2 linked regions of the Drosophila melanogaster genome follow. The gene in region 1 interacts genetically with each later gene. Each region holds a gene or a part of one and is shown in the gene's direction. Other genes may lie near its edges.

The links. A genetic interaction does not mean that the proteins touch.
Region 2: of bchs (region 1) and Ppt1, changing one enhances a phenotype caused by changing the other (phenotypic enhancement), as found in Drosophila melanogaster (one study listed by BioGRID).

Annotation. Positions count from the first base shown.
Region 1 is NT_033779.5:5,905,059-5,910,840, forward strand, and holds the start of bchs (blue cheese), read left to right. Parts: upstream 1-2,110; 5' UTR 2,111-2,229; intron 2,230-3,254; 5' UTR 3,255-3,286; coding exon 3,287-3,577; intron 3,578-3,631; coding exon 3,632-3,877; exon of another isoform or gene 3,878-3,989; coding exon of another isoform or gene 3,990-5,186; exon of another isoform or gene 5,187-5,231; intron 5,232-5,358; coding exon 5,359-5,713; intron 5,714-5,772; coding exon 5,773-5,782. Other genes in the region: CG14000 (uncharacterized protein), read right to left, coding at 3,990-5,186.
Region 2 is NC_004354.4:8,687,476-8,692,377, reverse strand, and holds Ppt1 (Palmitoyl-protein thioesterase 1), read left to right. Parts: upstream 1-2,150; 5' UTR 2,151-2,299; intron 2,300-2,331; exon of another isoform or gene 2,332-2,359; 5' UTR 2,360-2,398; coding exon 2,399-2,943; intron 2,944-3,083; coding exon 3,084-3,233; intron 3,234-3,289; coding exon 3,290-3,416; intron 3,417-3,475; coding exon 3,476-3,598; 3' UTR 3,599-3,751; downstream 3,752-4,902. Other genes in the region: CG11294 (uncharacterized protein), read left to right, coding at 1-210; Ogg1 (8-oxoguanine DNA glycosylase), read right to left, coding at 681-767, 827-1,313, 1,375-1,692, 1,751-1,890; CAH3 (carbonic anhydrase 3), read right to left, coding at 4,201-4,341, 4,424-4,560, 4,636-4,902. UniProt on the Drosophila melanogaster protein: Cleaves thioester-linked long fatty acyl groups such as palmitate from modified cysteine residues in proteins or peptides.

The DNA of each region.
Region 1 (5,782 bases):
TCCTAATAGTTTTATCATTTAAATATGGTCAAATTTAAAAATCCACATCAACACTTAACCACTCACTCAGGCACATGGGCGATAAAGCTGAAATATCCTTGGCCATTGTATAAGCAATTGCCATCAATCTTATGGCCCGTTGAGATTTCACTAGGCATCGAGGCCAACAAGTTAGCTGCCCCATAAAATCCCTTATATCCCATAAAAATCTTCACCAAAACACAATCAACTGAAATTTTATGTTAATCCCAAAAGCCCCGGCAACCTGAAGCATCTTCTTGCTCGATTGGGACTCGCTCCGCCAAAGGATGAATATTCATGTCTTACGGGAATGTGGAGGCCGGAATATCCTTGGCCGCCGCCCGGGGTCTTGCCAATTTCGATACGCAAATGTTTCGCTCATTGTCAACAACAGCGTCGTGATGAAGTGGAGGACTCTGGGGCGAAAAATAAAAGTTATTCGTTCCGACAGAAAGGGGGAAGCCCCGCCTAATGAGTCCCCCATGAATGCTGTGCAAATGATTTTTGGGGTTACACTTTTAAATTTTCCGGAAACGCCTCGAGCAGCATATGCGGTCCTCGGAAAATTCACTTAAAAATCCACTTAAAATTTTGCTGGGTATTGCACTTCACCTTTAAAGGAAGATTAAGCGGATGAAATAGGCTGATGTCACTTTACTCATAAGAGTTTGTATGTAAATAGAATGTTCGCGCCAACTTCACGAGTTTTTTTTTTTAGTGCGCTATCAATCTACCGAATATCATTTTACTGGTCTACCCCTTCTTGGCACCTGAGATATTGTTCCCGTTTTTGTCAGTTGTAGGGGGCCTCTATTTATAACTGAAACGGAAAAATCCATTAGAATATTGCCGCAGACAAAGGACTTTCCCCACAACCCTGCCCCACAAATCGCGGTGGGGGGTTTGTCGGGCGGGAAAGTGCGCAAAGTACCTGTCTGGGTGGGAAGATATAATACCTGGAGAAGTGCCAATCCCAAACGCTTTCCCACATAAACAAGCATTAGGGAACTCCGAGCTTAGCTTATGTGGCTGGCTGGCTAGCTGGAAAACTGAAGAGGACTGTGGGAGCGGGTGGATACGGGCAGTCACGCAAGGGGTCAGTGGGCGTGGCGGGGCCAACGCCCAAAGGTAAACTATTTTTGGGGAGCGAGGCAGTTGGTCATGGGGATAACTACTAACTAAATATTTAGCACGACACGCCTTTATTCTTTTGCACCCCTAATTGATTCAAAAACGAAATTTTATCCGCATTAAAATGGGGAGACACAGCGAATTGGTTTCGGGTACAGGGAAATTAGATCAGAAGGACGTGCGTGGCATTTAATGGCCTTACCAATCAATCAATCCCAATAAACTTACAGCATTCTCTGCCACAAATGAGTCAGCAAATAGCATCATTATCAACGCATGAAGTTCGCCATCGGGTGTTCGTTCAATCAATATGCAAATAAATTTGTTGTCATATCCGACAGCTATCTGTTGATGCTGACAATTATAACAACTGTAAGTACAAACACAAATATTAATAACCCCTAGCCAGAATCAATAAAGAATCTCACACTCATGCGAATATTGGGCGAGAGAGAAATTTGGAAATTAATGGCCAATGGCCTAAGAATACCAATTGTTAGCCGAGATGCGAAAGCACTCATATAATATTATTAACAATAATGAACTTAATTATGAGCACACATGAACATTAAGTAAGTGCTAATTAAGTATCAATTTAGATGCTAAGTTTATGAGATAAATCAGTTTAGTTCTATTAAACTGTTGCCATTAGTTTAGTAAGCGATCTAATATATACAATCTGAAGATAAGCACATCGTTGGCGACATACAAAAGATTTTGTATTAAATAAAAATAATAAAATGAAGTAGATTAATACAAATCGGTCTTGTTTATTTGCTTATCAGTACAGTTGAATTTGAAATGCCAAAGCTAGACCGCCGATCATAATTCAAAATGCAGCACTGGCGTTTGGTCTTAATGAGCACTGGCTGCGGTGGTGGAAAATGTGAACAGCTGATACCACTGGCAGCGCTACGCAACACTCGACAGAATAACGAAAAGAGAGTACAGACGAAAAGCTGGAGAAAATTTGGTTCATATTTTCATACGTGAAACAAGATGTAAAACGAGTGCATTTAGGGCCCAAAATAGTGAAAACTCACACGGGAAACACAATGCTAGCGACGGATAGCAAAAGTAAGTGACGGCTGCACGAAATAAGCCGGAAAAGTGCATGTGAAAATTTTCAAATTCGACCTATCTGCTGGTTTGTTCAAGGGTGGGTGGCGGGCAGAGAGGCCGAGTGAGAGTACGCGAGAGAGGAAGAAAAATCAATAAAATTGTCGTGAGGCGCGATTGACTGGAGCAAAACAAAGTGCGACACGAAAGAGAGCGCTAAGCGGACTACGAAAAAGCAACAACAGAGCGGCCGTTAGCTGAACCAAATGCGTTGGCAGAAAAGAGAGGTCAGATAGTCGGTAGTTTCAAAGGGAGTTGGAGTAAACAAACAAGTGCGCAATAAGTAAACCAAGAACAGCTGTCTCGCACAAAATGTAAATATTTCCCGAATATATGGAATAATAACCACTATCGGTTAATCGCTTGCTCGCTATGTAGGCGTACGAATCGAATCGAGTCGGCGACAGAGGCAACGTTCATTCACTCGCGAAAAGTTAATACTCGCACCGAATACAATGATCGCACTTTTCGTGTGATTCACCTCCAGCGGCCGCTAATTAAGGCGGCGGCAGCAGAAATAGAATAGCTGCGAAAACAAGCCATAACGCCAACTGCACTGTGCGCGGTTGTGATTTGGAAGCCACTCAATTGAAAGTGTCAGTGCTGTGCAAATAAATCGCCAAAATATCTCACCTCCAATGTTCAAAAGATACAATATCTACAATAAGCACAGGTTCTATGGAAACATATGTTTAAATGCGAAGCGACACGTTTTGAACTGAAACCTGCATGAAAGTGGGAAAGTTCATTAAACTACAGCAGTAAAAAGTTTCAAAATACTATGAAATATCTTTTTACACCTTTATCGAATAATATATAATCTTTTTAAACGGCATAACATTGTAAACAAGTGAATCACCATTATTAAAACACATGTAGAAAGTGCCACCCCCTTGCAAAAAAATCAATGACATTCCTCATAGTACAGCCATTAGATTAGTCTTATATTTTGTATTAAGTCAACTTAATTTTCTCTCTTTTAGATTAATCTTACCGCAAATCAACAAACACAAAGATGAATGTAATGCGTAAGCTGCGCGGAGCGGCCAGCGCAGGCAGCGTCAGCGGCAGCAGTAGCGGAACCTCGACGGCGAACAACAGTTCACCAGGGAGCAGCAGAACGGATGCTGGTGCACCGACCGCTGCAAATGGACGGAATGCGGAGGAGGCGCTGATGGACGCCCGCGTCCAAGTGAGCCTCACCACGCTAAAGAAGCTATTCAACGAATACACTCATCCGCGGGAGCCGCTGAGCGAACAGGAGCGCGATGACAAGCTCTACGAGATGCTGCCCCTCTTCTGCAAAGTGAGTGAATCAGTCGGTATGGAGGAATAGGCCACTAACTCCCCATTCTTACAGGTCTTCAGCAGCTGTCCGTCAAACGACATGAGCGAAAAGTTCTGGGACGTGGTCGCCTTCTGCCAGCAAGTGTCCCGTCTCATGGTCAGCGAAATCCGCAAGCGCGCCTCCAACCAGAGCACAGAGGCGGCATCCATTGCCATAGTCAAGTTTCTCGAGGTGGAAACCACCGAGGAAACCAGCAGCGGATGGATGCTTTTGGCTACCCTCAATTTGTTGGCCAATGGAGACGTATCTCTCATACAGGTATGTTTCATTTATAAACTGCTATAGTATCTTATGGTAAAAATACATCGACGTAATCAAAACAAAAAATTTCAATAGCTACAATTTTCGTTAGGGAAAGTCGTCATCAAATTCACGAAGTTTTCTCAGTTCCAGGCTTCAAAGAGAATTCGATGTGTGAGTTCGTAGCTTCTTCATTTGTAATATTTGGGTTGGCTGCATCTGGAACTTGTTGTTCCTTTTCTCCCGCATCGCTTGGCTTATGGACCAATTCAGCATTGCTTAAAGTTCTGAGCCGAGAATAGCTAGAGCCCTGTTCTACCAGCAAAATCTCCGATTTCTCCCTTTTCTCAGTGTCCGCCCACATGGAAGATCGCCGGGCTAGCTTCCGATCCATTTGAATGGGTTTCATTGTGGCCTCGCTGTTCTCACTTGACCGAGTTGAAACAAGGCTAACAGTGCTCCTGTCCTCGATTTTGGCCCACAAGCTCGAGGAATCGCTGGAGCCGCGCCAGGCTGAAGCAGACCTGCGCATCTTATTGGCCTGCTCTTCCATGTACACACTGTACTCCGTGTCCACCGGTGTGATATCCGATTCACTGGTGGTTATTGTTGGCGTTGATAGAAAACTCTCGTCACTCTCGATCTGATGCAGCGAAAAGAACTTTTTACGCGCATCCCCAATGAACTGCCACATGCGGACTATAAAGTGCGGCTGCTCCACCTCCGCGTTCGGCCGGAAGTACAGGATCTGAGAATTGGCCAACTTATAGTAGCACCTGCAGCATTTGCATAGAAAGTCGTCCACTGGCTTGGAAAGCACAAATAGCCCGGTTGAACCAGACTCTGTTCCCTCAAAGTACTTACGGCCAGTCGCCTGACGTTTCCAGTCGCCGGGTTCCATGCGCATCAGCAGGTCGAACACGTGGAACATGTGCATCAGGTACATGGTGCCAGTAACCAGCGCAGCGATGCTCTGCTGCTTGCAGTGCGCAAAGTGCGGATGTTCCAGATACTCGATGGTAGAATTGATGAAGGCCAGGTGAGGGTCCAGCATGGCGGTGCGCATTATCAGCACGCCGCAGAAATAGTGCGACAGCACGGCACTCAGTGTGAGCAGGAGCTGGGAGGAGAGCACCGTACTCCTAGCCAATAGCAGTCGGAACGCGCCTAGAGCGGCGAGCGCCGTAAAGGACGAAAATGTGGCACAATATAGGATCACATGAGGAGTACGCTCTGGCCAGTAGGATGAGCCGCGTATGTGGAAAAACATACAAACACTGCCCAGCAACACCTCGATGAGTTTAAAAAACACCCAAACCTGGTTCATTTCACAGACGTATTCTAGTTTAAAATGGTTTAGATTTAGTTTTGGCAACAGATGAAAAAGGTTCTGCGGGAAAAGTTGTATCTCAAAATACAAAACACCGCCGGGGCTGCGGGCTTAAATTAAGATGTTAAATCTAAACTAACTAAGCAATTCTAATATTGCTGCATTTCAGGTCATGACTGCTGCGGCGGTTCCCTCTACTTTAGTGAAGTGCTTGTACTTGTTCTTCGACCTGCCCATAGTTGAGGACGATGAGCCTTCAGCTGACGGTGGAGCAGTAAGTGAGTTTAATGCCCATGAAAGGCGGACGCTTCTGCAGAAGGTGTTTGTGCAGCTGCTGGTCAAGCTGTGCTCGTATCCGTATCCCGCTGAGGAACTAGCTCGCATGGACGACTTGACGCTGCTATTCTCGGCCATCACATCGCCATGTCCCATCCACAATATTGTATGGCGCAAGAACGCAGCTGAAATCCTGACCACAATATCAAGGAATGGCCTAACCGATGCCGTAGTTAGCTATATACATTGTAAGTATGGTGGACTTAATCATTATGACTAAATATTCTTAAAATGTTTCTTAATTTAGCCAAGGGCTG
Region 2 (4,902 bases), on another chromosome or scaffold:
TCGCACGGCATGGAACTGGGCGGAATGGCCGCCCTATCCGGACACTCCGACGAGGGTTCCGATGGATCCGATTCCGAGGAGATTGATCTCACCTCCGGCGCCTGTATCGATTTCTCCCAGAGCAGCAAGCTCCAGCAGCAGCAGCAGCAGCAACAACAACAGGGAACTCAGGGGGCGGCGGGATCAGCGGAGGCGAATGGAGGCCTGTAGACGAGGACTTTTATCAAGATACGGACAGATATAAAGATGCGGACACGGATACGAATGCGGATACAGATACTGAAACTTTCACTTGTACAGTGCTCACTCCAATAAAAGATTCGAATAACCACTTCATAAGCATATCCTAAACATCTGTATGCGTATCTAAAAGTGGTTTCCTTAGGTGATGAATTTCTAAAACGGACACAACACATTTTGAATATCCTAAATTTCAAATTCGAGCGCAATCTGTACACATAAATATGGCGATGTATATACAAAACGGACATTTAATGTACACTTTATTTAATCAATTACATCTGTTTAGCAATAAAAAAAAGATATATGAAACCCAGTATCAAGTTCTTTCTCTGTTTAGATATATATTTATATATACATTAGTATATACATTTCTATTATATTTTAATATTCAAATATTACAAGTAGGAATATTTTTTTTTTTAATCCAATAGATAAGATCACTTTTTAGGTTTTTTATTGGATTTTTTCTTACAAGCAACTGTGGAAGTATTTTGAAATTGACTCAAATCGGCAGAAAAGAGAATCTGAAATAATGATATTATAAGAAACACACAGACTAAATTGCAACTTTCAGTGTACTTACAGCTTGAGCCCAACCGGCATACTTTCCGTGTAGCTTTTGAAAATGTTTCGAGACCTCTTCGTAAATCTTCTTGGTTACGTTCTTTTGGCCGGTTAGATGTGGCAGGTAGTAATTTTGGGCAATTCTGTAAATATGAATGTCGACGGGCACTGACTCCAAGTGACCCATTGACATAAGGCAGATGCAATCGGCCACTTTGTATCCGATTCCGGGTAGCAGTGTCAGCTCCTCGCGAGCTTTTTCGAACGGCATGCTCTTTAGGCTTATGAACCAGTTTTGTCCCCCCTTTTTCTGGATCTCTTGCAGCGTTTGTGCTATGAACTTGGCCCGATAACCGAACTTGGCAGCCCTTAGCTGGGCATTAAGATCCTCGCATGGGATGTCGTGGAATCTATTTATCGTGGGAAATGTATACGCATCGGCACCATTGAAGTGACCAATCTTGGTGCCAAATGTAGCGCAAAACCATTCAATCATAGATGATATGCTAAGAAGAAACCAATTTACTGTATTTAATGATGGGATTCGCATTTGATTGAACCACCTACCGCTTGATGTTATTGTTCTGACTGCAAAGGAAGCTAAAAATGTTTTCGAACGGCTCCTGAGAAAGGAGGCGCACAGGCTTACTCAAGAACTTCACAAAGTTATCATCTTTGCTTAACCAATCTTTTTGGTTGACCTTTAGGTCGAAATCAACACGTAGGTAGTCAGATATCAAGGAAGAATAGTCCTTCGTGGCCAAAGGACTGCTGGTTCCGTATGCCTCGTAAGTTATGAAGGATTCTTCTTGCTGGAGCACCCAGTAGGTGTTGAACACCACTCCGCCATATTTCGTTCTATTACCATCGCATATGGATCGCCATCTGGCATGTAAAGTTGTTTTGAGTACATATGTTCATTATTAGTATGGATAGCGCTTACCGGAAACTCTGTCCTCCAAGCAAAGTTCTTTCCAAATCGCATTCTTCGAGGGATAAGCCTATGACACCCCGATCCTGTAAAACAGCCTTCATGTTTGAAAAAAGGCGCTTTTTATGGAAACCTAGGTTATGAGCCAGCATCCGGTTTTATAAACAACTTAAGCCGTGTTTTGGCATACTTAACAATAGTACTTTGTCACGTTTAAATAGTAAACCACATTAAAACTCGAGTTTAAATCGAAAGAAACAAACTCGCTGAATAAAATGTGTTATTGCTATCAGCTGTTTAGCATTTGTTTACCGTTCGGGGTATTCACAACATTCTACTTTTGCTTAGACGCCAGTGTTGGAAAATGTAAATTTTCTGTTCACAGCTGCACAATAAAGTACCAATAAATGCAGCAATGTAGACGAGGGCTTCGAAAAATGCACCTAATTGAACAGTTATATAGTCAAGCCTGTTGCCTTGAAAGGAAAAATAGTTGCAGTATTTTTCATGTTGCGTTAAAGCACGCAGTACGAAATTACCTTTAGGTATAAATAAGACCAGGTACATCCCGTACATGAAATATCCCGATTATATTATCGAACCATATATTATCGATAGCAGACGACTAATTTGATTTGCAAAAATTGCACTCCAACAACAATGATTTCTATCTGCTGTTCTCGTTTTTCATGCATTTTATTTTTGCTGTTCCTGATCTTTTCCCTCGTGCTGAGCTACATATGGTGGAGCCCGACGAAAGGAGGAACCAATCCGGAGGTCCTGCCGGTCGTTCTGTGGCACGGAATGGGCGACACCTGCTGCGTACCCTTCAGCCTGGGTGCCATTATGAACCTGATCGTGGAGCAAACAAAGGGCGGCTATGTGCGATCCCTGCAGATCGGCGGCAATGTTTTGATAGACTGGCAGAGCGGCTTCTTCATACATCCCAACGAACAGGTGGATTACGTTTGCAAGCAACTACTGCAGGATGAGCACCTGGCCAAGGGATACCACGCCATCGGATTCTCGCAAGGCGGCCAGTTTCTGCGTGCGGTTGCCGAACGTTGCCCGAATCCGCCAATGAGGAACCTTATCACACTCGGTGGGCAGCACCAGGGCATCTTCGGACTGCCCATGTGCCCCACCTTAACCGAAAAGCCCTGTGATTATATCACGAGGCTACTGGACAACGCCGCCTACGCACCGTGAGTCTATCTGTTGTTAAGGAATCCTAATATAATATAATTCCTGGAATTTACATGCTTATTAATCCAACACCACCATGTCGCCATCCTTGTCGTTTCCGTGTTAATTCTCTCTTCTCTCTTGCATACCATACACCCAGTGAAGTGCAGAAGGCATTGGTTCAGGCCACCTACTGGCACGACCCGATCATGGAGAACAAATACCGCCTGGGCAGCACATTTCTCGCGGACATTAACAACGAGCTCTTCATCAACAAGTTCTACATTGAGAATCTGCAAAAGCTTAAGAAGTAAGCGCGTATTATACTTATACATTTATCAAATATTATTAACCTCTGCTTTGCAGATTTGTGATGGTGCAGTTCCTAAACGACACAATTGTCCAGCCGAAGGAGTCCCAGTGGTTTCAATACTACACCACTGGGCAGAACAAAGTCATCCAGCCCTTTACTGAGAGCAAAGTCTATCAGGATGTACGTATGCATATCTATCACCTAACGTTCTAATATGAAATGTACATTTTTTCCTAAAGCTGGGACTGGACAAGATGCATCGACAAGGACAACTTGTCTTTCTCGGCGTCGAAGGTGATCACTTGGCCATATCCAAGGCCTGGTTTATCCAGAACATAGTGCCTCTCTTACTCGAAAAATAAGATGGTGCCCAAAAAGCACGTATTGTGACAAAAATGTTTGCATAGGTTTAATCCATTCTTCCTATTAACATAAGCATTTTAATATTAATAATGACTTTTTGATACTTTTATACATGTTTAATTAGATGTTTAATAAATTCAGTTTGGACATACAAAATGTGTTGATTTACTGTTCTTATTTTCCTCTTTTTCTCGCTTTCACTGTTTATCTTAATAACTTAAACGTTAGGATTACGTCTCTTGTAGATGTCTTAAGTAGTTGTGCCCGATATTTCTCTGAAATATTCAATGCAAGGCAACCGCGTGCTCCGACTAAAATTCCATACACGTATCCGTATCGTAAATACTCCGTATATATATATATATATATATATATATATATATGTATGTATGTATATGTATGTTTTGTTAGGTATATAACGCTATGTACATGAGGCAAATAACAAAAGCAGCTTACAGACAACCATAGACAGATAAATGTTTACACATAGCTATAGTTTAGATAGGCGATTGGGCGGAGAAAATTGCGCGAAAGGTTGGAAAAAGGAAAGTCAGCGGGAGCGGGAATTGTAGAATTGTATCCAAGTCATATGGCAAGCACATTATAACTTGGACTTTGGATTGGTGTTGCGCGCAAAGAAGATTTCCGGATCCTTGTGCGGACGCTGGATCTCGCGATAATTGTTGACTATCTTTTTGGACTCATCTTTGGGACACGATTGCAAATTGCGAAACACCTGAACCTGCAAATCAAAAGAGGTTTCTCAAATTTAGTGTTCCAAATGAAAGTATTTGGGGGATCATCTTGGTGAGAAAAACACGCACCTGGCCGCGAGACACATAGATGGGGGTGCGGTATATGATCCAGGTGACACTCTCAAAGTACGGCGCCGTTGTCAGCGAACCCTTGTACGTGTAATAATGTTTGCTCAGCTCCTGCAGACCAATCCATGATAGGCAATCTAAAAAAGCAGAGCCAAGAGTAATAGAGTAAGTCACATTTTTAAAACCATACTCGGTGAAAATTGCACACGCACCGGAATCCAGCGATGCACTCGTATGGATCTTTTGAACGATGCGGATGCCCTCGGTGATCTTCTTGAACTCGGGACAGTCCTTCTCGCCGCAGGCCTGAATAAAGAATGCGACGACGGCCAGGCCATCGGGCTTGTTCTTGGCCTCCGTGAAGTCCTTGTACTTCGAATTGTAGTGGACGGCATGGGCCTCCATTGAGTACTTCATGCCCTCCAGTGTATGCTCGCAGCCGGATTCATCGCAGTCCGACCAATGGAAGTGCAGCTGCT